Linked DNA regions of Oreochromis niloticus. The protein of the gene in region 1 purifies or fractionates together with the protein of each later gene. This does not show direct contact. Links are inferred from orthologs where the notes say so. Each region holds a gene or a part of one and is shown on either strand. Other genes may lie near its edges.

The links.
Region 2: the proteins of eed (region 1) and phf19 purify together in Homo sapiens (affinity purification with mass spectrometry; 8 studies listed by BioGRID and IntAct, counting the BioPlex papers as one, with this or other methods). This does not show direct contact. The link is inferred for Oreochromis niloticus from reciprocal best matches to the Homo sapiens genes EED and PHF19.
Region 3: the proteins of eed (region 1) and mtf2 purify together in Homo sapiens (affinity purification with mass spectrometry; 3 studies listed by BioGRID and IntAct, with this or other methods). This does not show direct contact. The link is inferred for Oreochromis niloticus from reciprocal best matches to the Homo sapiens genes EED and MTF2.
Region 4: the proteins of eed (region 1) and phf1 purify together in Homo sapiens (affinity purification with mass spectrometry; 8 studies listed by BioGRID and IntAct, with this or other methods). This does not show direct contact. The link is inferred for Oreochromis niloticus from reciprocal best matches to the Homo sapiens genes EED and PHF1.

Annotation. Positions count from the first base shown.
Region 1 is NC_031986.2:20,926,819-20,934,390, forward strand, and holds the start of eed (polycomb protein eed), read right to left. Parts: upstream 3,018-7,572; 5' UTR 2,975-3,017; coding exon 2,855-2,974; intron 2,130-2,854; coding exon 1,977-2,129; intron 1-1,976. Other genes in the region: pwp2h (PWP2 small subunit processome component), read right to left, coding at 4,353-4,518, 4,600-4,674, 4,782-4,932, 5,024-5,242, 5,523-5,588, 5,981-6,089, 6,366-6,513, 6,610-6,790. UniProt on the Homo sapiens protein: Polycomb group (PcG) protein. Component of the PRC2/EED-EZH2 complex, which methylates 'Lys-9' and 'Lys-27' of histone H3, leading to transcriptional repression of the affected target gene.
Region 2 is NC_031977.2:37,161,684-37,169,577, forward strand, and holds the start of phf19 (PHD finger protein 19), read right to left. Parts: upstream 3,014-7,894; 5' UTR 2,770-3,013; coding exon 2,717-2,769; intron 2,297-2,716; coding exon 2,116-2,296; intron 2,030-2,115; coding exon 1,948-2,029; intron 1,855-1,947; coding exon 1,750-1,854; intron 488-1,749; coding exon 393-487; intron 219-392; coding exon 70-218; intron 1-69.
Region 3 is NC_031982.2:10,795,433-10,803,422, reverse strand, and holds the start of mtf2 (metal-response element-binding transcription factor 2), read right to left. Parts: upstream 3,026-7,990; 5' UTR 2,807-3,025; coding exon 2,802-2,806; intron 1,924-2,801; coding exon 1,719-1,923; intron 1,571-1,718; coding exon 1,489-1,570; intron 394-1,488; coding exon 283-393; intron 127-282; coding exon 26-126; intron 1-25. Other genes in the region: dipk1aa (divergent protein kinase domain 1A), read left to right, coding at 3,891-3,944. UniProt on the Homo sapiens protein: Polycomb group (PcG) protein that specifically binds histone H3 trimethylated at 'Lys-36' (H3K36me3) and recruits the PRC2 complex, thus enhancing PRC2 H3K27me3 methylation activity.
Region 4 is NC_031976.2:34,397,092-34,404,636, reverse strand, and holds the start of phf1 (PHD finger protein 1), read right to left. Parts: upstream 3,005-7,545; 5' UTR 1,103-3,004; intron 497-1,102; 5' UTR 496-496; coding exon 418-495; intron 268-417; coding exon 186-267; intron 1-185. Other genes in the region: rgl2 (ral guanine nucleotide dissociation stimulator-like 2), read left to right, coding at 6,581-6,739. UniProt on the Homo sapiens protein: Polycomb group (PcG) that specifically binds histone H3 trimethylated at 'Lys-36' (H3K36me3) and recruits the PRC2 complex. Involved in DNA damage response and is recruited at double-strand breaks (DSBs).

The DNA.
Region 1 (7,572 bases):
TTGCGGGATAGACAGGATCCTTTAGCTCAGCGCGACAGTGTGCTCATAGAGAGATATCGATTTTCCCGTGAGGGTATTATTTACTTAACACTCTCACTCTCTCTCTCTCTATATATATATATATATAAAAAACAAAAAAAAAAAAACACCCAGCACGCCCCTGCGGGCGGTGTATCCTTCAAGCTCGGGTCCTCTACCAGAGGCCTGGGAGCTTGAGGGTCCTGCGCAGTATCTTAGCTGTTCCCAGGACTGCGCTCTTCTGGACAGAGATCTCCGATGTTGTTCCCGGGATCTGCTGGAGCCACTCGCCTAGCTTGGGAGTCACCGCACCTAGTGCTCCGATTACCACGGGGACCACCGTCACCTTCATCCTCCACATCCTCTCGAGCTCTTCTCTGAGCCCTTGGTATTTCTCCAGCTTCTCGTGTTCCTTCTTCCTGATATTGCTGTCATTCGGAACCGCTACATCGATCACTACAGCCGTCTTCTTCTGTTTGTCTACCACCACTATGTCCGGTTGGTTAGCCACCACCATTTTGTCCGTCTGCATCTGGAAGTCCCACAGGATCTTAGCTCGGTCATTCTCCACCACCCTTGGGGGCATCTCCCATTTTGACCTCGGGACTTCCAGGTTTTTTATATATATATATATATATATATATATGTATATATATATCTCCCAACTTACTGTGCATGCTTCAGTCACCCCTTGCATGGGAACAGGTAAAAGTGATGGAGTGTTATGTAAAACTACACACAAAAAACCCACAATGTCAATAAATGTCACAGTACAAAAAGCCGGGGTGTGACGAGGGGGTGCAGGACCACCACCTGTCTTTATTTGCTCTGCCCTTTTCTTGGTTGCTGTTATGAACAAACATACAGATTATTTCAGGGTCTCTTTTCAAGAGACTAAAAGCAATATAAGTGATAAATATTACCATTCTGTAGAATATTCTTATATTTCACTTTTACTTGTTCCCATGTTCTAGTGGGTCCTGTTGTGGCTCTAATGTGAAAGAGGATATAATGTAATATAATATAATAAATTACTTACGAGTTTAATTTGTCAGCAACTTTCTGCCAGCCCTCTCTCCTTGCTTTTGCAGCCTTTGCAATGTTCCCCTGCGCTTTAATTAGACTCTGAAACTCCTGATATCCCTCAATCAAGGGTTCTTGCTCTGCTGCCAAAAAATACTGAGCGCGCTCCTTCGACATCTTCGCCGACCAATCAAAGGGTTGCCGATCAATGTTTCTACTATCGATGCGTAGCCCCTTTTAAGCCACCCAGTGATCTCAGATTACTTCATCCAGCTATACTAATCGTCAACAACAGGTGTGTTCGGAGAACCGGATTAGCGAGCTCAAGGTTAGAGCGATGATTTGATCTTGGATGTAGTAAGCGAGGTACGAAGAACGGACCCCTTGTCTGTAAATCGTTGTCCCTCTGATGCATTACTTTCTAATCGTATCCCTTCTGGTAACTGCCAATGAAAATCTTAACATCTTTAAAACTGCCTCCTGTCTTTATGTCAGCACCACTGTCTCCAAACCAGAGATCATAGCAGTCTCCATTATAATCTTCTAAACTTCCCCTTTCACTTTTGCTGCCATCTTTCTGTCACAAATCAACCCTGACACTTTTCTCTATCCACCCCACGCTGCCTGCACTCTCTTTTTGACCTCTTTTGCACACCGTCTGCTGCTTTCAGTGGGTTGATCCCCAATATTTAAACTTCACGATATCTACTCCTTGGATATTCGCCTGTCACTCATTCACACGTGTATTCTGTCTTGTCTGCCTAGTAGTTTAAATCAGACCAGGCAGCAGATTAGGACCAACCTATTAATGCCTTTTCTGAATCGACAGCTAAGAACATCCAAATACCTGTGACTATGTATCGTTTTTTGCTGGCTCATTTCACAGTAAACCCCTCTGGGCTCTGCACACTGTCTGGTGTGCTGGACGTACTCACCCTCAGGCTGTTGACACATTTAAAAGAATATCTGCACTTCTTGGACTTCCACTTGCCCTTGCCCCAGCTCTTTCTGCCGGGGGCATTGGCGGTGTTGGTGGGTGTGTCTGGGCGTTCTGCGTTGGTGCCACTCTCAACGCTGACGGCATCGTCCTGCAACCAGCAGCAACACAAACAAACGTGTTTTTAAATGCAAAATCATCTTCTAAACATGCGCATTGAGGCCAGAACATGAGCACTCACAAACAAAGTGTGCCTGCTGTGCTGAATACATTGTAAACACGTTTCTTGCCCTGCTATTTGTTTAACAGTGCACTTTTTATAGCAGAAAAAAACAAAACAATCAAAAGCGTATCACTTCCAAACTATTGGGTCAGTTTAAACACAATGAAGGAGGAGATGAGTAAAGATGGCTATGGTTGGCCCATGCTGCTACAAAAACATTCCCCATTAATCAGTTCATAAAGCGCTGTAACATTTTTCTCACAATCAAAGCTTAACTGAAGACCATTCTTGAGCAACCCATCCGAAAAACACTACCTTTTGGTCACTATTTAGTTTATTATTTATCTGCTTGATGCTTTTTGCCAAGGCTAGCTCAGGTTTACACGTGAATAACTCAGTCTGAGCACAAAGAAAACACGTGTGCGCTAACATGGAAGAAACACGTGCGGGAAAATTTATTTGAAGACACTAAAATAGTCCACAGTGAATAACTATATCTGATAGCTCCAGCTGTTTGAATCCAACCGGTGTGAATGAACAAAGATGCTAGCTAAAGCCTTTAGCACATCGGCTACTTTAGCACAATGCTAACTGGTCAGAAGCGCTACACGGCTCATCTGCGGCCAAGCATCAAACACGGTTTAAACGCTTACGTTCTCGTCTCCTGATAAGTCAGGATTGCTGTTCTCATCGCTGCTCAGCTTTTGCTTTTTCGCCGGTATTTCTTTTCCCGCTTGAGAAGGGGACTCGGACATGTTCTTATTTTCCCTCATTTTGGAATTAACCCCGCCCCTTCCGCTCCTACGCCGACGAGCATGCCGGAAACTGAATATTCAGCCAATCACGAATCTCAGCTCGACTGCACAAATACCGGTTATTTTCCGGTTAAAGCCGTGCAGGCGTATTATATATATTTTTATAATAATTTCTTTATCTTTTACTTCCGGACTTTTGTCATTTTAAATGCTCTTGAGCAATAATTCTCCAGCTTTCTGAAGATCTTTCAAAGCGTTTCTTTGGCCATTGCTGCTTTTTCAGTCATGTTCAGTCCAGTCCTTGAACCTGAACATTTTCAGGGGAATTATTTGTTTGACATTTACCTATTACTCACTCAAGCATAACAAAGAAACCTAATTCAAGGGGTGAACCAGTTTTGTGTCTACACACACACAAAAAAAACAACAACCTGGCAAAGAACCAGATTTAAATTGTATCTTTAGGCATGTATTACTGGCAACCTGTCATAAAACACAGAATTTGTTCTTATTTCTTTAGGTGAATCTACACAGTTTAACATAAAATAGTATTTTTGCACCAACAATGTGATTCCCAAGCTGAAAACTTGGCATATCTCAGCATGGTGTGCAGTGTGTTCTTGAAGATCCTGATTAAACTGCACAAGTTGAGGATAAATGTTACAACAGTGAGTGCCTACAGACATCTGTAAAACACGGTGGAGGCTCTGTCAAGGTTTGGGCTGCATTTCAGTAAGTGGTGTTCAAGATCTTGTCAAATGATGAATTAAGAACTCAGAAAAGTACCATCAGATTTTGATCCACCATGCAATTACATCTGGAAAGCATCTGATTGGTAACAGCTTAATTTTTCAGCATGGCAATAATCCTGAACACACTGCCAATGCAGTAAAAGCATTCCTGAATAAAAACACACAGTGGAACATTATCAGTCATGGATCGGCCTCCCCAAAGCCCGGACCTCAACATTATTGAAGCAGTGTGGGATCATGTTGACAGAGAACAGAACAAAAGGCAGAAACATCCAAAGAAGAGCTGAATGTCCTTCAAGAAGCCTGGAGAACTATTCCTGAAGATATGTAAATCACTGCATCTATTTCACATTTTCCTAAAAATATATGGAGACGTCCAAGACCTTTGCATAATAATGTAGATAACATTTGTTTAGAAATGTTCTATATATCCGCTAACAAAAAAGAAATCAATAACAATAATTATAATAATAATAATAATAATAATAATCATAGAGGGTGACATTTCATTAAACCAAAGAAAACCATCCACAGTTACATATGAATTTAATTATAAAAGAACTCTAAAAAATCACATCCAAGTACACAAAAATCTGTTTTTCTTTTACAGTCCAACATGTGTCATGCTGCGGCACTGAGGTGGCCTACAGCATCATTTCTGCATCCTCTAAAGAAGCCTCGCTCATCTCCTCAGACAGCTCTTCATCCTCCTCCTCCTGGTCCTCTGTCTCCTCCTCAGCCGCCCTCTTTAAGCCTCTTTGCTTTGAGAGGGCCACGGCATAGCGGATGTTGTATATGTTGAAGTCGCAGCTGCACAAACAAAGCACACATTCAGATCTGCTGAGCTGTATCTGGGCAAAGGCACAACATTTCAGAGGATCTGTAACTTACAGCTTGGAGAGGTCGTCGAAGTGCCTCTGGATGCTCTTCTGTAGCGCCTGCAGCGTGGGCAGGATGGCTCCAGACCTGCATGCCAAAGCAGATGCATTGAAATATTTGTTGCTGTCATCTTCTGTTCACTTACAGTCATGCTGAACTGAATCTGTGATGTGAATGAGAGCCTGAGGACACACCTGTTCTTCAGTTTCTGTCCGTGCAGCATGAGCAGGTTCTGGGCCCAGGTCATGTAGAACTGCAAGTGGCCCGACTTCTCCAAACACGTGGCGATGAAACCCAGCAGCTTCTCGACATAAATGTCAGGAAGAGAGCCGCAAACCACCGGGACTAGACCAGAAGGACGCACAACTCACATCACTCAGGCGTTTCCAAGTGAAAAAAGGAACTCAAAATGTTAAATAAGGTGAAATTCACTCACTCTGCTCGTGTGGGACCTTCTCCAACACTTCCTGCTTGAGGGCTTTTTCGTTGAGCCTGAACGCCAGGACTATGGCCGACGCCCACTCCTGAAGGCGCAGCTGCTTGCGTATGCTGGCCGGTGTCACGTCTAGGTCCAGGTCGTACGGGTCAAAGACCAGTGACCCGTCAAGGGAGTAGACCAGCAGGCCCTCGGTGGTGGTGGCTGCCCAACTGCGACCTGAGGAGGAGAACAACTTCACTAACCGGCCGACAAAGCTCGTCTGTAACGGGACGCATGCTTTTCATACGTGCTTCGTGAACGTGTCTGCTGGTGTCCAGCGAAGTTTGCTGCACGAGATTCAAACACCGTAATGGTAGCAGAAAACAACATGAAAAACTGCTGTGATGAAGGACAACATCAACATCATGAAGGACAACATCAGTGTTGTCTTTCATCATCCAGTGTTCACAGGATAACATTTTGAAACCATGCTCCAAGCTGTAATTCTGTCACCTACCAGTAGGGGAGAACCGCAGCGAGCTCACTCTGATCTCAGGTCTGAAGTGACGAGAACTCATGTCACCTTTAAGGATGAGCAGACACAAGAATCAGTGAAGGTCGAAGCAAAAACATCAGTGAATAAGACACCAGAGACATTTTTTTTGGTAAAAGGCCTCATGATCCTTACAAAATACAATTACTTAATTACATGGAGGGCTGCCAAAATTATATCATAAACTCAAGATCAACTCAAGCTCAAAATCAGAGAAAATGTCAAATTTTAAATCACCTAAATTAATCAAAATACATTAAAATCCTCACTTCTAAAGTTGACCTATTTTTAATTCTGGCGGTTTCAGTCCTCCATAGAGCTATGTGGACAGCGATCACCACTTCTGTCCACTGCACCTTGTAGCAAACACACAACTTCCACACTTATAATAACTGGTCTGAGCCTTCGTGTGAGGGTTGTACCTCTCCTGACTCCAGGGAGGCTGATGCTGACTCCGTCTCCGTCCCCGGCTCCTTCATCCACCAGAGCCAGACTGCCGAACTCTGTCATCTTCCTCCTGTCCAGGAACTCCTGAAGGTGAAGCAGGACAACAGGATGAGTGAAACCTGTCATAATTAAAACCTCTTCAAGGACTAAAGATGCATCCGATCCATCTATGTTTAGTCATCTAACATACACTTTTAAAAAATGCCTTAAATTCCTATTTTGGGTTCGCCTCGTCTCCTTAAAAAAACCCCTCAACCATCAACCATACATTTGTTTTTTTAGGACAGTTGATGTTATTAAATATGTATGCTGCAGTCATGTGACATGGAAATAAACTCGCTGAGCAGACTGAGGTCGCACCTCCATAGCGTCGAAGGACAGGTTGCAGGAGATTTCAAACTTCTTCATGAGCATCTGCTCCTTGATGTTGTAGATGCAGACAAACTTGGACTGACCCCCCGCCAAAACAGACTCCCCGTCCGCAGAGTAACACAGTGATGTAAACGACCTTAACGAGAGAGAGAAGAAAAAAAAAAAAGTCACATTAGACAAGATGATTTGAACCAGTGGAATCAAACCTGACGCTCGAATCCCGTCCACTCACTTGCCCTTGGCGGATTGCTTGGCTGTGATTTTATCCGTCTCCTTGCGGCCTGTCTGCAGGTCGTGTCGTCCAGCAACGGAGCCATTTTGTGTGGCCGTGTGCGGGTTCCAGAAAGAGATCTCACCGTTCAGAGTGGCCACAGCCAACTCCTGACCGTCAGCGCGGTACGTCACCGCCAAGCCTGAGGAACAAAGACATTTAAATTAAAAAAATAAAAATAAAAACACTGTGAGGGAGGCAGAATTTTACATAGACGTATACAGCACACAAGAGCACAGAGAGAACTCGCCCTGAAGGGCTATGCTGAAGCCTGATGTTTTATGCTGATGTCAGCACTAATAATAAAAATCCAGTACAGTGTATAAATGTTTTGTGTTACTGTGAAGTCACATGATGTTGTAAAGCTCAGCCAAAGAAAGTGCTGATGTCCCAAAATGACTGTTATTTTATTATCCAAAGGAAACTATAAAGCCTTTAAATAAGTTCGTGTGACCATGAACTTTGACCTTGAAGCATTACATAGTAAAATGGTTTATTTTATCATCTTTACCTATATAATCAGAGCAAAATTGGCTAAAATCTTTGGCTTCTATAAGCTGCAAAAAGTTTAAGATAAATTTAAAGATATATTCATGCACGCATGTAATTTTACAAAACTTCATGGGTTCATTGTGACATTGTAGGGCGTCGTATTGAAAAAACAAAAAGTGTGTTGTACAGCTCTCTCTATGCCCTTTCATATGATATATCACTTGATAAGTTTTCTGTAAATTTTTTTCAACATCGACTTTGCTAACAATGAAGGTCAAGGTCAAATGCATAGCAAACCTAGGAACTCAAGGCCTAGTATATTTTCGGGAAGTTTGAAAACGAGCCATAAAAAGTTGGTACTGATTTTCAGTTTGGTGTGACCTTGACTTGGACGCAGTTTTCACCCAAAGGAAATAAGCCCGAGCTGTTACT
Region 2 (7,894 bases), on another chromosome or scaffold:
AAAGGTAATGCACACAGGTGAATCAAGTAACGGCCAACCACACCTGCAGCTCTCATCAGGCCAACTTACTCTCCAGGGCCACCGCAGTAACAGTAACACTGCTGCTGATTGGTCCGGTGCTGCGAGTCCCAGTCCAGGGCCTCCAGCTCGTACGGCAGCACCTGTTTCATCACACTCAGGGCTTTGGCTATCACACCTTTCCTCAGAGCCCCGCCCTTCTGTGGGACGCACAGGTGCAGAGACACAAGTCAGAGGCAGGCGACACACACAAACACACACACACACAAGTGTGAGAGAGAGAGACACACACACAAATGAGAGAGAGACACATACACACACACACACAACTGAGAGTGAGACACACACACACACACAGGTGAGAAGCATCGTACCCGGACCGCCAGAGCAAAGACGCAGCGTCTGCAGAACCACGGAGTCAGGGCGCCGCTGCCCTCTACTGGAGGAATGTGACACTGCTGGTGGAAACCTGACAGACAGGTGATGGTCAGAGCCCAGGATTCACCATGGCAACAGATAAACAAAGAGCACTCGGTCATCGTCACGGGCATTCGATTCATTCAGGTTTTCATTCAGATCGCATGAAGGTGAATCCTGATGTGACCTTTGACCTTAAATCTGATCATCAGAAAGCATTTCTGCCTTTACTGCAAACAGAGTCTGCTCTAATGTTTCTACTATCAGCTTCACTCTGAGCTTCTGTTAAAGGTCAGAGGTCATTCACATCCGTGAGCTAACACATTAGAAGTATCAGCAGTTATGGAGGAGCTCCACCTCCTGAGAAAATGCTGATGTCACAGCAAGCCCGTCCAATAAACCCCACCCTCAAACACCATGCAGTAGGGCTGGGCGATATATCGAGATTTTAAATATATCGATATATTTTTTTATACGAGATATGAGATGTGACAATATGTTACTACGTTATGTTACAATTATACTTGTGGAGCTGCAAGTTTGCCTCTCTTTCATCCACTTTTGTCTCTACGCAGCGTTACTCTGCCTCGCCTCTCCTTCACTGAACACAACTCCCCCATTGCTTCACCTGCAGGCAATGACAAGATGCACACGGCAGCTATCAAAGAGGAGCTGCTCGGTAAAAAGAAAACATTTGGAGATTACTATTTTAGTGCTGTTAGTGTTAATCTCGTTAAAATGACGTTAACGGCATAACTGTGGCAAATATCCGTTAGCAAGTTACCGCGGATCGCCCCGTGCGTGGGGCTGGACGGCATCAATGTGACGCGTTAACGAGCTAACCGGGCTAACGCGTTGACACTGTGCAGTTCACGCAACTCCAGGCTGTCAGACTTTGTTATTATGCTCAGCGTCTTTTAGTTTACATTTTGACTTCACAATTGTGAGCTTTTTGCTATGCACAAAAACAACGGTGTTTTATTTTATTTATGGAGCATTATTATTTAATAAATGCTGATAAATGTTAAACAAACGCTGTATGTTGATAAAAGTGCCTGTGTGAGATCTGGGACACAGTGTGACTAAGAACTCTCTTTTTGTTCTTACTTTATAGCTTTAAAAAATATCGAGATATATGCCGTATATCGCCATCCAGCTAAAGAATACCGAGATATGAATTTTGGGCCATATCGCCCAGTCCTACCATGCAGTCAGTTTTAGCTTTGCAGGTGTGACCCTCAGTTTGACCTGCAGAAAGCCCACAGGCAGGTGTTCCTAATAAACTGCTCCTGTGTGTGTGTGTGTCAGACTCACCGATCCCACACTTTCCACAGATCAGGATCTGGTTTGTTTGGGTGCTGGAGTTTGGGTCCACCTCCTGGCACATAGAGCAGCGAGGCTCCTCCCCCGGTACTCCAGCTGCATTAGGATTGGACAAAAGAAGCAGATCACAGACATGATGCACCTGTCTTGCTCTCTCTAGCTTTCTCTCACTCCACCCGTCTGTCTCACCGTGCTGGATGTCCTTCCAGAGGACCCAGAACTTAGAGTTGTCCTCAAAAGTGACGAAGCAGCTCTGCCTAGGGGGACTCACCTATGCACCAATCAGAACACAGAAACTCAGCCAATCACGATGAGCATGATGATGCTGCAGTGGGTGTCAGGTGAGCACACGCTTACCCGTTGGATCTTTCCCAGGTAGTACAGTCCATCTGACCAACGACAGAGCACGAACTGACCCACGCTCAGACTGGACTCCACCCCGTCAGGTTCGGGGACACGCCCCCCTTCACACCCTCCGCCCCCTGGAGACACCTGATGCTCCAGACCGCAGAAGTCTTCGATCAGGTCCTCATACATCCTGCAGAGAGACAGACAGACGGTCTGTGATTCATTCCTGAACTGCGCGGTGGTTTGGAGGAGGGCTGACATGCGCAGTGCGTCCTCCCATCACATACCGTTAACAGAGCTCTAACCATCCAGTAACTACCCACCACACCCTAACGGGTTAACTAACGGAAAAGAGCTGATAAAGCGCGATAACCGACCGGAGTAATGAGTAAACCGGGCCATGAAATCCTAAACGATAACCCGGTAACACCCCGTAATAATTCACGTTAAGAGGGCCAGCTCACAGACAAACACTTGCACACAGTGATGAACTGACCCGGGTTAAATTCAGGGGTCTCAACAACTCTGTGACCCGGGCTAAACTAACGGGCCACACTAAATCCCAGGGCTAAATCAGAGCGGATCAGCGCAGAGAGGCAAGCCGTGATACCTGCACTGATCCGGGCTGTGCCTCCTTTCTGCCGGTCCTCCCGCTGCTGGCATCCCAGGACAGAAGGTCGTTGAGTCGGTGCTTCTTCAGGCTGTCTGTCTGTCTCTGTCCGTCTCCCTCACGTCTCCCTGTCTGTCTCCCTTACGTCTGTCTGTCTGTCTGTCTGCTGCTGCTGCTCTCCGCGGCGCTAAACTTCAAACTTACTCCGGCGCCATTTTTCACTTTTCCCGCGAATCACAGCACGGCTTTTTTCCTTATCGTTCCGTCATCACGCCGCAGCGCCTACCCTAACTGTGATTGGCTGTTGCGTTGAAGCGTGTGGGACGCTGCGCTATAATTGGCTGTGAGAGGAAAAAAAATAGTTTTACCGCGAGATTTTTTCTGAGCGAGATTTCTTGTGTAGCGGCCCCGCAGCTGTTCTTCCTACACGCTACTGATCTACACCCTATGACTCCACCTCTCTGCGAGCTGAACAACATCTGTGACCGCTGTTTCTGAGTGTGCAGTTCTGACTTTTATTCTCTGACAAACGTTTCAGGTTGTACTAAATATATAAAGATAATATATAAATAAAAATAATTTTGTTACACACAGATTAAATGCAACTAAATCACATGATGTTTAATCTCATTGAATTAAAGAGATTTCTACTACAACATTTAGCATAAAGCAATAATTAATAGCACTTCCTGTAATGCAGTTAAAATTAGCCCAACTTTGATTTTCAAACATCAAAACAATGAATCAGCCAACATCCTGGACACTGCACAAGTTGTTTTGTTATTTAATTAGATTTTTAAAATATGATATATCGCGGTCTCTGTCCAGACAAAGGGGTGGTGAAAAGCCATCAATGTGCAGCGCGCTGTCGTCGTCGCTGTTGTTTAACCACGATTACGTGAATGCCAGAACGGAGGCAGTTCTGTACTCATGCAGGTGGTTGACGCAGGCTTGCAGCTCGTCCAGCTTGGAGCGGAGAGACTGCACATTAGCAAGGATAATAGACGGGAGCGCTCGTTGTTTGTGTGTCTCCCTCTTTCGTCTGGCTCTCACCCCACTCTTCTTTAATCCTCTCCTGGTTACCTTGTTATTGTGAGTTTTTCTATTTCCGTGTCCACGGAGTATTTCCTCGGGAAAGTAGTCCGTGGAAGCGGAGCGGAAAAGTCGGAGGCTTTATTTAAATTGTATATTTATTTGTTGGATAATTTAAACCTTTAATAATCTTAATAAAGTCTCAGATTTAAACATTTTGAAACCAACTTCTTGTCACTGTCATGGTCCCAGGACTTCTGACCTGATGTTTTGAGTTTTGACATTCTGTATTAAGTTCTTTTGTATTCTTAAGATCTCTAGGTTTTCTGTTCAGTATTAGGGTTTGTTAGATTTCCCCCCTGTGTTGTCCTCTGTGTGACCGTGTATATAGTGATTTCAGTTATTGTGCTTTGCTTCCACTCCTTGTGTCCCGTGTTTTCCTCTTTCCATCGTGTTCTCTCTCTCTGCCTCTCTCGGCTGTCTCTGTGTACCCTCTGTGTTATGTTTAAGGTCCGCGTCTTGGCATCAGCATTTTCAGTTTTGTGTCCTCCCCGTTCTGTCATGTGTAATTGTCCTCAGCTGTGTTTCCCGTTTGCTTCCACTTCCCTCGTTACCTTCTGTATATTTATGTTAGCGTCCCCCTTTGTTCCGTGTCGCGTCATCCCTCATGGTTGTGTGCGTTTCCTTGTGTCTCCTCTGTCTCTAGCTTTTAGGTTCTCCCAGTATAGTGTTGTATCGCTCCCTGTGTTCCTGTTAATAAAGCCGTGCCTTTTGAGTGTATCCCCGTGTGTCTTGAGTCATGCGTTTGGGTCCTCTCCTGCTTAAACACAACCGAAACCTGACAGTCACGTTGGTCGTGTCCAAATTCATGGGCTGCATCCTCGTGAGGCCGCATTTGTAGGCCGATTACGTCACAGCGACGCGCCGAAGGCTGTCCAAATTCGTAGACTCCTCCGAATGCAGCCGACTAATGCGTCCTCCTTTTCCCCGAATTTGAAGGATGGGTCGGGTGTGTCCTTCGTGGCCCACCATATCCCAGAATTCATAGCGCGGCCCAGCCAAACTCCAGTTTCCAACAATGGCGGCCGCTACTAAGTTTTAAAATTACTCTTATTAATCTTTCTGGGTCACAAAATAAACTTTTAACATATTTTCAGGCGAGAATGTAGCTGTGTAAACTTCAAATATCTGCTCGGTTTATCAAGATATCGCATATTTGCAAAAGTGCTTCGACGTTTTCGGAGACGTCTGTTACCCACCAGCTCGATAGCTATCCGGGAGGTCGAGGGTCACTGGAACTGCTGAGAACAGCGAACTCCCGGCACATCATTTTCAGATCACCGCGGACTTTTGCTACTCTGGTTAAACGTCATATATAAGTCACTTAGACAACCTAAAAATGATATTGTTTGGCTGTTTTCAGTATTTTATTTGTTCGTGAGTAAATCGGTTTGGCTGAGATTAAAGTTATTAGATTAGATTAGATAAAATAAAACTTTATTAATCCCCCGGGTGGTTTTCACACAGCTGAATAAACGTCAAACAGAAAACTGATTAAACAGAAGTGTGAGACGGTCGAGAGTTTACGCCAGCGTCCTGTTATATTTTAGACAGCAAGGAGCAGACGGCCGAGTTTATTAAACTCCACCGAGACAGCGGTGACGTTAATCAGAAGGCTAGACCGTCCAATTTCACAGCCGTTTACTTCCGGCCTACCCGACCTTCTGAGGACCCGGCCCACGTAGACCGCGAAGGCTGGGTCCTCAGGAGGATGCAGCCCATGAATTTGGACACGACCTTTGTATTGAAGTTCCATTTATAATCAACATGAATGTATCTATAGTTCAGCCACAGGTGCAGTCTCTCACTCAAACAACACATTTCTTTTGCATTCAGACACAGAAGCTGGTGTGTTGCAGTATTTTATAGATGGTTTGTTTCCATGACTGCCTGAAGAAAGTCTTTAACTTCCCTTCAGTACAGTGGCAGTGGATGTGGGTTGGAGACGCAATGAGCCTGAACCTGCAGGTGACCATCTTCACTGACCACACCAACTGTGACAAAGGACTCATCTCTCCTGGTGAAGAGAAGAAACTATAAAGCCAAACTACACTTTTACCATTTCACAGGCCACTCATCTGGTTTATGGACTTTCACAACAAAACTTGTGTCTAAACACATTTTTAACAATACACATACTACTGTTATTACTATTATTTAAATGTGATTAAACAGAAATGTTGGTTTAATGTAAAACCAGTTGTTGCTAAAGATTTGACATTAACAGATGTTTGACTGTGTCGACTGATCTGTGCGAGGGAGGAGGAACACGTGACATTTACAAACCACATCGTTGTGTCCTTCTGCTGAAGAAGGGGGCTGCCTGTTGTCTATTTCTCTGCAAATCATTCGATGATGAAATAAAACAAAATAAAAAGAACATTTCATCTGTTTTTTTTTTTTTACATTTTTCAGGTGTTTCTCTGACCCAAGATTCAGTCTCTCAATCCAGTTCTTTGTTTTTGTCTAAAACCAAAAAGGAAATCAAAAACTAACTAACTGATCATTTGAGTTGTACTTACATCCACAGCTGGGTGACTTTCGTATATAAAAGTCCAACAGTAACATAAGCTGTCAGATAATAAAGTAAAATAGAAAATATAGTGAAGCAACGATAAGAGAGCTTTAAAGGGAAGCCAAAACTAAAGCAGGCCACCTGTGAGTTACTTAACTACTTAAGTACAGTATAGAGTAAATGTACTTAGTTAGATTCCACCACTAACATTTCCAGCTTACTTATTTTTTCTAATTTAAACCAACTCAGATGCCGAGGTCCAGGCAGCATCATCGTGTGACTGGGAATGATCCCAAACCTGGGTAGAATAAACTGACCTTGGGGAGATTTTACACTTTGTCCTTCCTGCTACACTTGCTCTGCAGCTTCTTTTCCTTTACTGATTTTATGGACTGCTTCCTGTGAGGTGCAGGACCAGTCTGCAGAGCAGGATAAACCATGTTTCCTCATCTTGTCAAAGGGCACAAAGTGGGACTTTACTTAGATTTATTTATTCCATATGACTGCATCATTTCCCCGTACTCTCCCCTCCCAAAGAGATCGCCACTAAGAGAAATCAGTCTGTAACACTACCGTGAAAAGAAAGTGCTTTATTGTTGTTTTGCTTCTTTCATCTGGAAATGTCCAAGCTAACCGCGGTCCAGACCGCAAATGTTGGAGTACGGTCATGGTCCTGGGTCGGTGACCCAGTGTTTGAGTTTTGTACTTTTAGTTTTTGGTTCCATCATGGTTGTTGGTTTAATCACTGTTTCTGCCTCAGTATGTCTAGCTCTTTAGTATTTCCTGAGTTCTAGTTTTAGATTTTGTTATGCGGTTTCCCTGTGTTCTGTGTTTCCTGTTTTACTTTGAAGGTGCATGTCTTGTATTTTGTTTTGCTTCCTCCCTGTCTTGTCATGTTTAATTAGGTTGAGCCGTGTCTCCACCCTGTGCTCGTTTTCCTGCTTGTCGTCCCCGGTGTAACCACTGCTCTCTGTGGTGGCAGATTTCTTTTCTCATATATTAATCACATATATAATTATATCACATTAGTTATAGTAATATCACTTTCTCACTTTATTCACAAACACTCTCATACACTTTCACTGTATTGCCAAATGCAGAGGTCACTGTGAGAAAGTGTGTATACACCTGCGCAGCGCTAACATTTACATTCTCTTTTCTACAGCAGAGGGTTCATCATGTGATCTGATTCTGTGATTTATAGGACATACCACAGGTTAATTTTTTTTTCTCACAGAATTACTGAGTGAAGGCAACTGATTACAGGTTATATGTTGGTTATGCAATTACACTATGTTGTTGAGAAAATGTTGGAGAAAATGTGAATACAGTGTCAAACATACTGTGTTTGAAACCAGTATTACCTCTTTTACAGCAGAGTGTTAACTTTATGATCTTTTTGCAGCACCTCTGGAATCTGTTGACCCAGGAAAACCCCCAGGATGCTTCATATGTTTTGCTAATGTTTGTTTCTCTCTAAGAGTGCTTGTGAAGGATTCAGCACAGACATACAAGTGATGTTAGAGTAGTGCAGTGACTGTGTGACATTTTTAGTGTTGGGTTCATTATCT
Region 3 (7,990 bases), on another chromosome or scaffold:
TTTCTTCTTAAAGAAAAATCTGTACCTTAGATAGAGAAGTGAGCTCGCACTCTGAGCAAAGCCACTTGTCATCAGAGTCGATGACAGCAGCATCGATGACAGGGGAGTGACACCGCTGGTGGTAGCCTAAAACACAAATGAACACATCCGTAATGGCCAGAGATTAGAGCCCAACAGACGAATAAATAAACTACTGAGACTGGCTGTTTAAATGGGTTATAAATATAATATAAAATAACTGTTTCTGGCTTATGTTGGAACATCAGAGACAATAAATGATACCTTGTCCACATTTGTCACAAATGACAATCTCATTGGGTTCCTCTGAAGTTTCGTCCTGGCATATGGAGCAGACAATGTCATCGTCGTCGTCATCCTCATCATCTTCTTCCCCTAAACAGCACCAAAGTCATGAAGGTAAGCAACTAAAGTTTCAGATCAATGGTGGTATGACTAAGGGTATCATTTAAAGCAGCTTTCAGTTAAACGAGGTCAGAGGAGTACACCGAGTCATCACATGAACAAAAGATGACTCAAATTCACCCAGCTGAAACTAGAGAAAGGTGGCAGGGAAAATATTTTACAACCTGGATAAATAAAATCCAAACTGTCTGGTTATCGGGGGGGGGGGGGGGGGGGGGTAATCACGCTTCCGTGTCACTGAAGGTCTACACCAGGATACTAGAGAGAAGATTCCATCTACTGGCTTAACTTTTGATTCAGCAGGAATAAAGCCGTTTTCATCCTGATTGCGGACAGTTTGCTGCCTTCTTCCTCCTGAGCATATTCGAGGGTGTGGGATGTTTGTAATAACTATGTGTCTTTTCTAGACCCGAAAGGGGGATTTCTATTCAAATCATTTTTTTTATTTTTTTTTTAATGTAGCGCCAAATAACAGCAACAGTTGCCTCATAGCGCTTTATCACACTTGCACAGGAATAGAATTTATAACAAGATTTTGACTGCATCTCATGTGGTGATTCTTTGTCATACTTTTTTAATATATCACAATTCAACTATTGAGATGAGGTTTGAGGTTAAAATAAATAAATAAAAATTATCCCACAAATCGTTTACAGTCAAATGTGACGAATGTGTCTGATCATAGCTTTCATTAATGCTTTATTCATGACCCATCCCATTTAAGAATAAAAATGAAGAATAAGTTTTTCTTAACACCATAATAGCTAAAGGGGCTTAAGTGGAGCGATAGCAGCCCGTCTGCATATTAGCAATGCACTGCGACTGTACTGATACACTCTACAGTTAACTGTCAGTGACAAGAGCAAGAGATAAGTAAGTCCTGGAAGAGGCAGAAAGGTTTGCACAGCACAAATTGTGGATAATTGACTCCCCACCCTCTTTGCACTGGCTTACAGTATCTTTACTGCATATTATCTAGCAATTAAACTAAAATATATTGCACATTTTAAATTTCCCTTTGGGATCAATGAAGCCATTCTTATCCACCTCGAAGCCAACATTCACCTGTTTGAATATCCTTCCAAAGAACCCAAGACTTTGACCGATCCTCAAAAACCACAAAACATCGGTGCTTGTCCCGATCTATCTGAAAAACAAAACAAAGAAAGATTTACTTGTTTCCAGATGCGACAGGAGCAGATTTTGCTGCAAATGACCTATACTGATTTCAGGAGTTTTTCTGCCAACGCTCTCCACACAGTCCGTTTACCTTCATGCATCATCCTCACACTAACCTTTGCGATTGTCCCCAAGTAGAAAAGGCCATCTGACCACCGGGCCAGGACATCCTGTCCCTCTGAAAACCTATCAGACATGCTGTCTTCTCCATACTCTCCCCTGGCAGAAAGGCTTGTGGGGGACAAGGACACAGCCTGCTGCTGCCGCTGCGGGGGATGAGCTCTGTGATGCACAGACAGGTGATCCACAACCCCTGAGTCTCTGAAAAACAGTGCAATACAAGAGAACAGAGGCAGATGTGAATTTAGACTATGGAGCAAGCGGATATGGAATAAGTTCAAAGTTAATTTAGGAGAATTTTTTTTTCTGCTTACTGTAAACAGATTGTAATTATTTATATGTGGTGTATTCTGTTTCCTCAAAAGAATACTAGTACAACTTAATGCATGTTATTGGTATTTTTTTTTTAAACTGATAACAGCTAGCAGAGTAACAGTCCTGTATGTGTAGCCCTCAAACACAAGGATGCATTGTGTGCTTGCAGAAGGGCTTACAAAAGAGAGTGAAACATGGCATTTCCTCTCCACTGGCTTTGAACAACAGGTGATTATACCCATAATTAGTGCTAATTGGTAATTAACCACATAGTCAGTAACATGGCTTCAATGCAATGAAAGACAAAAAACAAAAACCTAACCACCCTTTTAGAAATAAAGACCAATGTACCAATGTACTTACTACTGAACACTTCCATTCCACCACAAGTCTCAGTGACAGCAGATAGTTTGTACATACTAATACAAAATGTCATATTTCTAGCTTCTATTACAAATGTTATTAATTTCAGATATTAAGAAACTATTGGGGTTTTTTCCTTCGCCTTTAAACGCTGTCCTCCAATGCAGGCTTTCCTTTGTTCGGATAATGAGTGGACATATTCAATGCCAGCCACTTAGCAAAGATAAAAAGACAGCTTGGGATGCCGCTGCACGCTGATATAATGTCTTGTATATTAAATAGCTGGCAGCTGGGCGAGCTCAGCAGCGGGAATAATCCACATGCAAAGCCGTAACCCCAGCCAGGTCGCTGACCGTCGGACCCACACCCCCCCTAACGGGAGGAAAACATGACAACAATACCTCATTCGGTCACCTCCGCTTCTACAAACGACTCGTACGACAAAAATAACCGGACAGAAGAGCCGCTCTTATCCCGCTCCTCGAGCAACTGAATTCACTTCCAAAGCGTGTCTGGAAAACATGCGGGGTTTGTGGCTTCCTCAGAAAATAACAAACGGTTCATTTTCCCCGAGCAAGTTCGCCATTTTGGTTTCCCGCTGGTGATCGGGGAGTGCATTATGGGAAGAGCTTAAACGACTGCTGCTGGCTGTCTCTGCCGCGACGCTCACCATTTTTTCAAACATTTGAAATTGTAGGCAGGGCATTTAGTAAGCAAAACATATCCGCCCCTTAAAGAAGCATATTTTTTTAAATTTTTTTTATTATTTTAGTCGACGTTTTACTGGAGGTGTTATGCGTAAGTGTCTGCCTAAGAGAGACATTCTAAATATAAAATATGTTTACTCAAAAACATCAGAAGTTTAACGATGAGATGTTTGATAAACTTGTGCAAAGTACGGCCACTTCATGGCGCTACAACATAACATGACGCTAACAGGTAATTTTTAATTAGACCTCCTGGCCGGAAGTTGTGTGTAGCGTCTCCGCAATAAAACCTTTATTTTGAAGGAGAAAGCGGATGTTTGTGTTCCCTCTCCTTGCTGGCTTGGGCTTGACCTGCTTGTACCTCCAGAGTTTCGCAAACACGCAATATTGACTCACCGTTATCTGCGGAGGGGATCTGGCATCGGTGAGTGGGCTTGGACAGCAGTTTTGGTCAAATTAGTTGATCACATGTAAACTTAAAAACAGACATCTTATTGGTAGAGTTTGCGCCTGCGCTCTGAACCTGCGTTTTTTTTCCCCAGCTTCAACTATGTTGCTTTGGTTGGAATTCAGCAGCTGCTGCAAACAGAGCCCAGGCGCAGGCAAAGTGTGCCGTCAGAGCGACTCACGCCGTCAACACAAATCGACAATCTGAGCTTAAAATCGGATAACCTGCAATAATTTCCCTGTGCCCGTCGTTTGATGCTGAACAGGCTTTCTCCCATGGGTTTTTGGATGATCCCCCACAGCCAGGTCCACGTCTTGAGATGATCTATTTTTGTGATGGCGAAGGGTCTGTTTCCACGGGCCTGGGTGAAAAAGTCTTTCTACTTTCAGGTAAGATTGCTACCCAGGATGTGTTGTGTGAAGTGGATTGCAGTTTAAAATGAGGGGATGCTGTGGGGTTGTTTGAGCTTGCTGTGGTGCCACATCACACTGACAGCTGGCAGTAAACGGGTACCTCCTCTTGCTGCTCGGTGTGGGCGACATCAAAATACCTGATGAATGCAAAATGCAAAATACCTGATGAATGCGAGCCTGCTCTAGAAACAATATCATCGTTTCCCTGGCTCTGCTTTGTTTTTGACTGTAAAGACGCCAGGGCTTCCACTCAGTCTTTTCCTTGCCTTCAGCAGTGCCAGGGCAGCAGTAATTCCTTTGGGCTGGGTAATAAGGGTTGAACCTTCTGATTTGAGGAGCAGCTGCCAGCAACTTCTCCCAATACAGTAAGGAGCTTATGAAAGAGGAGGAGAGTACAGGGCTGCATTTGCTCTTAAAAAGGGTAGAATGCTGCTGTATTACAACATACACAACAGTCAGTTTAATGCAGTCTACTGAAAGCTGAAACATGTTGAGCTCAAAGTGTGAAACATGTTGGCAAGCTCACCTCATTTCATCTGGCTATAACCAGTAACCAATTACAGTAAACCAATGTCTCCTGTAGGCCCGTGGTTTAATTCAATGAGATCAGTTGCTACTAAGCAACATGTCATCCTGTACCGGGCGTTGTTTTTTTTTTTAAGGCCTGAGAGGACTTTGATCCTAGAAGAAAAAAATGATTTTGCATGTGTTTTCACTGCATATTGTGCATGCAGTCTGCACATTTTTCACAGTAATTAGGCAAATAGTTCTGCTTGTGGTCTACTCAAATCAGTTTCTCCCCATGTTCTCAAACAAAAGGTCAGTGCAAAATGCAAACGGGCTCACCAATTTTGAGAAAAAGCCTCTCTAAGAACTTTCTAGGAAACCTGTTTGCTCATAAATTCACAACGGCAAAATGTGTTCCTTATTTTCTTCCAGGTAGCAAGCTTACAAGGCAGGTTTCAGCAAAGTCATCACAGTTTACTGCAGAGCTGACATATATATGGCTCCTGGACCGAACTGTGCTGTCAGAAATCAAGTAGCTCAGATGTCAAAGCGTGCTACATTTAAAAACCAGTTTAGTAAGGCTTCATTGAGCCTGTAAAGACACGTTTTCAATCAGAGATTATTAGCCACCCTCAGTGCGTCATGCGGGATTAGAGGCAAAAACTGACAAGGAGAGCCAGCTCCGTCCTGAGACGCTCTGTGGATTTCAGGTGGGATGAAATGACAGTGGCCATCACCGCAAATCCCTCTACATGATATGGGTCTTTTGTCTGGGTAACTGAGACCATCTGTTGACAGACAGTGACCCTAAAGCTTGCACTATGGATTTTGTGCTTTGTCACTTAGCTCAGTCGTGCATAGGTCATTCAGCTCTCAGCACTTAGTCATTTTATTTGACTTATCTTGTTTTGTTTATTTTATTGATTTATACCTTGAGGCTGCTATACAACTGCAAAACATGTGGAGTCTCTGTCCCTGTCTTTGTGGTTAGTAATATAGTAATAAACATCTTTTTGACTCTTTTTAACCCTCATACGTGGCATCAGTTAGGTTTATCCATTGTTTTCCTAGTTAAGACGTTTAGTACATATCAGGTTTCATTGCAGAGGAGACACTGTAAGGGACCACAGGGTTTAATGAAGGATTAAGCTCTGTCCTGCTCAGCTTTCACATACCCCACAGACAGTTCACAGACACACATGACTCAAAGTCACTTGCTTGTCATGACTATGGAGGGCTGGGCTGCATCCAACCTTTAATTTCCATGTGTGCACATAGGCAATGTTAATTCCGTTTACACATGCCAAGGCATTCAGATGTGATAGCAATGTTCACTCTCTATCCTTATCTCCATCTCTTTCGTGGAGGCCAACTGTCTATTTAGTCATCTCTTCAGGGCACACAGTGTTTAAAATCAAAGTGGTCATGCAGAGGAGACATCTGTCCTGCTCTATTAAAAAGCAGCTGCTAAAGCTCAAATAAATTCCTGCTGTTGTCAGTAACAGATTGATGAAATGCACCAAATAGAGAGACAATTAATTTGTTATTTTCCCGTACCCTAACCTTTTTGTAAAAGTATTTGGTGAGATGCCTTAAATCTCTAAAGAATACAAATTAAGAGTAATTTGACCCTCTGTCTGTGTGTCAGTGCGGATCAGACGCTTTAATGTCTCCCACAGAGTGTATAAACCCATAACAGAGAGTTCTGCTCTGTTTACAAACTACAGTAATCACAGCACATGAAAGATAAAAAGGCTTTTGACTTGGTGCCTGCCACACCGCCAGGGTATTTTGCTGGGATTTGGAAACACTGCTGAAGCTGAATGAGAGGCACGCCAAGCTGCCAAAACACACACGGCATAACCAGTTCCTGTCATGCAATCAAAGAGAGAAGCAAAATTACTTTATCCTCCCAAGTGCAGTTACAGTCCTCGGAGGAAAAACTAACTGCAGTTTTGTTTGGGTAAAAGTCGAGAAGTGTGGCCGACGGAGGCAGTCTGACCTAAATTCTTTTCACTGCTCCACTCTGCCTTCCAACAGTCCTCTTTGCTTTATCTTTTTGCTTGCTTTTATTTAATTATTCTCTTAGTCTGTGTGCTGCCGAGAGGATCATTTCATTAACTGACTTCAGCTGTTGCTCCAGAGCAACATCAAGACCTCACAGAAGTGTCCTGTAACTTCTTATTGTAAAGTTTTCGCAATTCTAGTTCGACACTCTTTGATAAGGCCGCAGACTTTTCTGCCATAGAAGAGATGGTGAAATGTGTAACTGTGTTGTGTGGATTGCCATGATAGTTGGCTTAGCAACCTTTGGCCCCACTGACCAAAGAACAAATTAACGAATTATTGACACAAAATGTTAACGTTCCCCCTCCCAGAGACTTTTGCAATCCTCTGACTTCAGCACCACCAAATCAGTATTTACCTGCTGTAAGGAGTCCATAAGCCTCAGCTGTATTTTGTGTTTTTTTCTTAGCAAATGTTTGCATGTTGGCATACTAAACTAGGATTTCAAACAAGGTAAAAGTTATAGCTGCTAATCATTGCCATGTTATCGTTTTTATTGTTGCATGCTAAAGTTACACTTTAACTCAAAGCACCACTCTTTATAAGTGCAGCCTCGCAGAGATGCAAAAATAACACTGCTATAGGTTGGTAATAAAGGAAATAGTTACTTTCTGTATGCACAGCTGAACTTTGACTATTTTGGCATTAAACGTGATCTTTCTTCCTGTTTTCAACAACTGCAGCTGTTTTTGTTTCTGATTTGGTTCATTTCACTTCAGTTTTTTATTCCATTAGTGGTGAGAGTCACCAGATACCAGATGATACAATATCATTACCGGGCTTCACACTATACAATATTATTTATCTAGTTTTGCAAATTATGCCCTCAAAGTTGAACTTTGTCAGTGCCTGTTTTATCACAATAACATTGGCAAGCATACCAGTACTCACTAAAACCAGCCATAATTATTGTGAGATAGTCTATGATTGAAAGGGACCAAGTTGGCAATTAAGTGCAATCTATTGTTAATAATACATCAATTAACTGTGATAAATCCTTTAAAATCACATATCTGTTGAAGTTTACATAGGCTCAAATTCATTTTTAAAAGAAATTCACATTACATTTGCGTTCAGCAACCTTCCTGTTCTATAGAAATATAACCAGCTCACAAGCATCCAGCTGACTCAAGTCCTCTCGAGTTGTGTTTACTGACAAAGACTCATTCAGACTGATGGCAACATGTTGTCAATCTGTCTGCATTTATAAATCAGACAGCAATATTTTGCAGTCAGTCCAGGTCAGGTTGCAGCTGTTTGCAGAAAAGTTGCTTCCTATCTGGCAACCTGTGCAATCGCCCTGCAATTAAAAGTGGTTGTGAGTGTGCAACACCCACAAGCTCTGAGCAACCATATCATCACCACAAGTTCCATATTTTTTTATGGATCTAAGGAAGTTGTTATATTTTTAGTCCTTGACCGAGCCATTAGCTAGCTCTGAATTAGGA
Region 4 (7,545 bases), on another chromosome or scaffold:
CAGCAAAATCTGAGAGTGGAAGCAAACACCTTTACTGCGAGTTCATCCGAGCATCTCTGTGTTCAAAAGCTCAAGCTAGGTGCATTTTTAACCCAACAAGTACAAAGTTCTTTCAACAGGAAGCTACTTACTCTTCTTGCCGAAGGAAGCGGGAGGGGGGGAGGGAAAAAAAGAGTTTTTCTTACACGAGTGAATGTCCTTTCTCAGTACCCAGAACTCAGAGTTGTCCTCAAATCTCACCAGACAACACTGCTTGACTCCATCTACCTGAGAAGGAGATAGCAGGTGAGCGGAATGATTGACAAAACTAAATGGAAGTCTTTTCAAATCCAGCCAAACACACTCACGCACATGTTGCATACACACACTCAAAGGTCTCTCTGTCACACACGCATACACACTCATACATGCACTTACTCTTTTCACATTGCCGAGGTACAGTAGTCCATCACTCCATCGAGCCAACACATCATCTCCTTCACTTACTCCCCCCATCCTGAGGAAAGAGACAGAGAGGGGAGAGAGAGCAGGGCTCATGTGAAATGGAAATCCGATTTATTCGCTGAATACTTTGCTGCCATTGCTGACAGAGGGGTTTATGGCCCCGGCATTTCGACTGCTTCTGAGACAGGCGGGCTTCAGTGCAAAGGGGTTAAAATCTCCCCCCCTCCATCCTCCTCCTTTTAGACTAGAGCATAGCGACAGCCTGTATCCACCACAGTGAAAGATGAGAGTGAGTACACAACCAGAGAGCAAGACAAATGATTACTGCACACATCAAACACACATACACACACAGAAAAAAAAAACACTGCATGATGACTACTGCAATACAGTTTGACTGAATGAGCAAAGATCACAGTGCAGCTACTTGAAACATCTTCCCTGCACTTTGCTGTTGTCTTCCCCTCTCCCAACATCTTAAAAACTTGAATAGATGCATCAAATGACTCTGCAGGCATTATCTCTGCACATTGAGCATTTGTTCCAGTGCATGCACTCAAGTCAAGACAGACGCAGGATGCATTACAGTGTATGTAGCCTTTTGTGAATCAGAGGGAAATCAGGCAAATTTCACTGAAAGCTGGCCGGTGAAGGGTACCTGTCAAGTCGAACTCCTTTCCGTCGGGGTCACAGTGATTCCTGGACAGGCTGGACATGAAATGCCCTCATCTGCTGTGGGTCTCCGCTGCCCAATTACTGCCAGCTCGGATGCGCAGCCTGCGTGTTTGCAAAAAGTGGATGATGTGCATGTATGTCCCTGTCTGTGCCAAGCGCCTGTGTGTGTCAGTCAAGCCGTCAGCGAGGAGGAGGGAGAGGAGGAGGAGGAGGGGGGGGACTGACTGTCCGTCCGTCTCTCAGTCTAGTTTGTCCGTCCTCCGCGGTGCCGTTTCGTCATGTTCCCGTCGCTTTTGCTCTCTCTCCCCCCTCTCCGTCACCACCTACTGATGCTATTAAGGCGGGTTTGTCAGAGCAGCACCGGAATCAAGCCGCCAGAGACGCCATCATCCCTGCCTCTCGCTCTCGACCGACTTGTTGTGACGCAGACATAAAACACCGAGATAGAGTGGGAGGGAGATACTGATAGAGGGGGATCCAGAGGTGGCGGGGGGGTCCTCCGCGAGAGCACCTTCCTGTGTGAGAGATTGACCCTAAATCCCTGTGACAAGGTGGGATTGTGATTTCTGAGAAAAGAAAGGAGGGCGGCGGTGCGCTAAAAGCCAGCGGAAGCAGCGCGCCCGGTGACAGGGGCCAATTAAGTAGCCAATTAGTGAGTTTAGCCGCCTCATTAATTGGTTTCGAACAAGAAGGGACCGGACAAGTTTAGGAAACCGATGGGAAAAGTTTTCAGCAGTAGAAGCAGAGCAGGAAGATTAAACTGTTGCTTATCAGTGCTGATTTTTAGGAATGAACTGAATTTGGTGTGATCGTTCTTTCTGTTTTACTCAAGAGTTTGGGGATAACATTAAACATTATTTAGAAAATACTACAATGTAAGATTTAAAGCATGTATGAGCTCACTGACTTGCAACACAACGTCACAGAGAATTACTTCCCATATAAACCAGATCTTACAATTTTATCTAAAAAATAAACTCCAAAGGGGACAAATATCCAGAGGGTCATCTCCTCTGGGCTGCGATGTCTGATGGCTCACAAAAGATAAAAAACATGCACAAATGCACAGTGTCTCTAATTGCACCAGTTCCAGACATACATCCAATGCAGGCTGCTTCACTGAGTTCAGTCTTGAATGAACCATGCACGTTGTTGAGTATATATGGTTACTGAAAACCTATTAACTGCTTCAGAAAAGGCAAACATCGGGGGAAAGCTGCTTCCAGAGAGTCACAGACACGTTATTAAATTGTAAACAATGCTAAATCACTCCGGGATTTAGATTACTCTTACAGTTAAATTGCTTTAGTCAAACGGCGCGTTTTGCTGTTTTTGGCTGCAGGCTCATCCATCAAATCCAAGGTTGTGTTTGTTTGTTTTTGCTTTCTTTTCTTGTTTATGTCTTGCACATTACTCACACCAGTCGAGCGTGTGGTAACACCGCCGTGCGGTTCAAAATGGCCCCTGGCAGATTAAAAAAAAAAAAGAAAAGAAAAGAAAGAAAGAGAGAAAGCGTACAGTGTCATTTTCCAAATGTGGCCGCTGGGTGGCGAACAAATACCAGAACAGGAACTACTGCAATCAGGCCTGTCAGTCTCATGGACTCGCAGGATCAGAGTGAAGTTCGAGAGAAGCCCCAGAGGTGTGATGATGATGATGATGATGATGATATGAGTAGGATAATAAGAAAGGAAGACCATTTAAAATCCTCATGGCTCGTGGACTCTGTAATGTCGAGTCTTCACAGGTTATAAGCCAAAAAAAAGAAGCTAACACCCTGACATCATGGGTTTTTATTGCATGTGATGGGTGTGTTGTTTCTCAAGTTCCTTTCCGTGTCACAATTTAAAATGCATTTGCCATTACAGTCACACAGTAGCTGTTGTAATCTGAATGGTAGCATGGCCTACTTTTTACAGATGAAACCATTCATCCTTGAAGGAGCAGAGAAGGCAAATACTAAGATTTGACGCTACAGGAATGCACTAAAAATAGCATTAGATAATTGCTTAAAATATGAAGCTAAACCTAAAAGTGTCTAGATTAAATGTCATGGGCCTGAGGGTGTTTCTGTGGGGTTTGCGTGAATACCGATCAGCAGATGAGTTCAGTTGAGAGAACAGGTGTGTTTCTGGGATTTCTCAGTGGGGTGGCACAGGAGTGACCAACAAATAGGGTGGGATTTTTATTAAAAAATTATATCAAATCAGTTGAGCTCAGGTTTGTAAGGTAAAGACTGTTTCATGCATGTGTGTGTGTTGGCTTTTCAAAAATGAAGAATGTATTGTTTAAAAGGTGCCACAAGTAGCCCAGATTATGCCCAAGAGTGTCTGCTGTCTTGGTTTGCATTGTGAATATGGATGTGTATTTGAAGCAACCAACTATTAGAGCAATAATATCCTCAAGGTTATATTAGGCTTAAAGGGGCAATCTGAATTTTTCTACACATTAAGCTACACTGGCCAATCATGAGGGTCAACCTGTGAAAATTCTTGTGTACTGCAGAGAGCCTGCATTAAAATCTAGAGAAGTATGTAATACTCTAAAGCTAAATTATAGACGTCTGTGAAGGTTCTCAGTCATCCAGGTCATCGTAGTCTAAGGAGCTTGGAAAGAAAAGCGTCTGGACTTCTTTAAGTTGCTTGAATTAAATTATAGATCTGCAGAAGTGTTTGATCTTGACCCAAACCTAGAGGGTTCAAGTTTAAATGTCTAAGCCTAAGGTCGATTGTTGAAGTCTGGTAATACAGAAGACAGGTCAGAGGTCAGGCTTACTTTTAGGTTTATGAGTTTAATAGGGACTGCTTTATAATTGGTATTGTAATATATAGGTTTATTAAAGTATTAAAGTCAATTCAATGGGCCTGTTTTTCTGCAGTCAGCGATCGTTTAGATGAGGTGAAGATTTTATGGATGGAAAGACTTTCAAAATGACAGAAAATGCGCGTGTGTTTGCGTGTGGTTGTGCGTACACGTGCTCGTGCGCGGTCACGCAGTCTGCCTGCTGGTCCTTGAAGTAACATTTCCCCGGAGGCGACGCGTACGCGGTTGCGGTGTATCGCTATCCACACGGTGGAACTGCCCGGAGAGACGGATATGTTGCCAAAGCAGTGAATGCACAACGTACAGGAACTGCGACGTTAGAGTGAGAGAGAGGCGGGGAGAGAGGGAGGTAGGGAGGGAGGGAGGGAGTTTGCAGACAGACCAAAGTGCGCTATCAGCTGCTGAAAGCTGGACAGGCGAACAGTGTGGAGAGACTGATAGAGGGGCGAGAGAGGGTGGGGGGCGAGGCGGAGGATGGAGACTCCCTCGTCGTTGTCGGCGGTGACGGTGGTACAGATGGGTGCGACTCTCCTCAGCTGAGCCGGCCACCGATCCAGCAGCCCCGGCGGTCATCCAATGCAGTCTGGATCGAGCTGACCGCGGTTGGATAGCGCACATCCTGCGAATGAGACTTCGCTAACAGTAAGTTGAATTGTAGCTTCCTTCATTTATCTTCCTCTATTTGCTTAATTTTTATAGCCTAGCTCTTAATTTTTACGGCCTTCGTGTCGCTGAGTGATTCGCAGCAGGAAGCAAATGTCATCATCTGTCACTCTACTGTGTTTAAATACACGCGTCAAACTTTTGCAGCCCTGACAGTTTCGGGCTCCATTCTCGTCTTCCAGCCGACATCGAGACTGAAGCTGTCATTAGGACTGTACATTGCTGTAGCACCACCCCACGGCTACATTTATTAAACAGAAAATAGGCATTATGGGGTGTGACTTACTGTAGCCTAGTTACTGCGTTATATGTGTGTACACCTCAGTCATATGTGGCTGTTTGCTTTGGTCAGGCCAGTGAATAGCAGCCTTTCAGACTTCTGCACAACCGTTGGTCAGCTAGATCATATGCTGCACTGGTAATGCTTTGTTTCCCCTGCAGGCCTGCTCCCCTTTCCTCTCTTATTCACGGTACAAACTTGCTTTCTTGAGCAAGAATATAATGAACCACCACAAACCTGCAGTAAAGACAGAGCATTATGCAAGAGAAAGTTTAGTGTTACACAAATTGTAAAGAACCAAAACAAAATGAGTGGAAACCAGGGAGTGCCATTAATGCATTTTTAGACCACACACTTTTTAAGTGCTCGTTCGGATCCAGAGCTGTGTGAACAATCAGATGGGTCATGTGCCTTGCTCAAAGGTGTTCTGAACATGCTAGCAGGGCAGACTCTGCTGTTCTGTTGCTGGTCACATCACAGCCATTCTGTATCATTTGCTCCTGGTAAAAGTCAGAAGAAACTGCAACACACGTAACATTTATTAATACACCAAACTGCACAACGGAGCACTTTAACGTGTTCTTTTTAATAAAAATTCTTCAGGTTAACATAACTGTTTATGTGTCTGTGGTTGACATTTCCATCACCCTCATATCACTCCTACACCCACCAACTCTCTCGCTCAACACCTCTTTTCCTGTAACAGTGTTTACTTGATGTTTATCTTCAGGGCAATCTAAATACCAAAGAGGGGAAAGGGAAATGGAAGGAAGGGTTGCTATGCAAATCCAGACCTGCTGTAGAGCACAGTCAGTGTGTTAAGCAAATCAACTCCAGGATACCATTAACCATAGAGTGTTGCTTTTGTTTAAAATGCAGTTTAAAGGTTATCTTAAAGTTTTTAAAGCTATAACTGATAATTTGTTCAATGTGGAGCTCTAACATGTGCAAAGTATTCACAGGTGATTCAAGAAGACACATAACGAGGCACACACAAGCGTGGCTATACGTCATAAAGTTACAGTTAGTTTATTTATTGAAAATGACTGATGATTACTTCTTCAAACCTTAAGTACAAAATCCAGCTGCCCAGTGGTCACACATTTAGGGACATCACTCTGTACACTCTTACAGCCTTTCCTCATTTTATAAAACAAACATATTATGAAGAACCTAACTGGAAAATAGAAACATTTAGATTTCTCACATTTGTTATCTAACTGTCTAAGATTAGACATTAAAAAGCATCAAAATAAAGAAAATACAAGTTAGTTTTTGAGAAGAAAAATCGAATTCAAGATAAAAAAAATAAGCTTTAAAGCTCTGAGAAAAAAGTACTGTGCAGTGCAGGAATAAACAGTCAAGTTTTAAGCTTTGATCTAAAACCTAGAAAGTTGGAGAGAGTCTCTGTGTTTCTGACAGTTTGTTTCAGATTTGCAGTGCTTAAAAGGAAAACAGTGCTTTTCTATAATGAGTTTGGACATGTTAAATGAGTCAGTTGTGGAAATTTAAGTTAGTTTCTGATGTGATCCACTTTCATTGCCTCAGCTTTAGCACCACTGTCTGATAATAATGTAATTTTATACTTTTATGTTATAAGGAAATGAACATGTTAGTACTTAATTCATTCCAACAGCTTCTTAAGAAATATCTAAAACATTTCTTATGTGTCTCTTGTCTGCAGCAGCTGGCACCATGCTCCCCCGTAACATACGTACAGGTGGTTATAACCTGCCAGGGGTGGAATCAGACGATGTGCCCCTCATTGGCTATCGACCTTTATCACCTGACAGAGGAACCATAAGTGGCCACTCAGGGAGGAGAGCCGCTGGCGCTGAAGTGCAAAGTTCGCAGGTGAATGGTTTTTACTTTGCCTCAAAATGGATGGATGGGTGTTTTATATTTGTATATTGGTGTTCCCAACAATCACAGAAAAATATGTAAGTTTACTCAGTGTAATGTTACCTTTCTTGGCTACCTGTCTCTCCCGCCAACGACATCATATTGTTACTAATCTTAAAATGTTACAACAACTTTCAACATGTTCAAAATGTGTTCTGACCATCGATAAAGGCGCTAGCTACGACTAAATTTAGCAAATAGTAGTAACTGGCTAAATGGATAGCTGATTCATCTGATGGATAATACAGCAGTTAATGCTGTAAGCTAATGCTATTTCCTGCTATTTTATTAGAATGACATTATACTTATTAATTGTTTGTGGCTTAAAGAAACGTGTGAGATTAAAACATTAACATTTTCCCTGAACAAGTCAGGTTTTGGCCCACTGCGCAATTGCAGCACATGCAATGGCAGCAGCCAATTCCTTCATTTGCATTACTTACACTGCATCGCCCAATCTAATCTCTTAACAAGACTGGCCCCTCCCCTACCTTCACCATGCACTCACATTTTGTGTGGAAGAAGTGTCAAAGGTGCTACTGAAAAGCTGAGAGAATAAAAAGAAACTAATAATAAATGCAGCAAAATCTGTCAAATAAACCAACATGTTAGCTGTTGTTGCTGTTGGACCGTGAACAGTAGTACCAGCAACATCTAGTAACAGCTAGTAACCAGACCTCACAGTCACACGAGGCTACCGCTTCTAGCGCCAGCTGTGGAGAAGTCAGGAAGAGACGAGGAAGAGAAATTATTTTGGT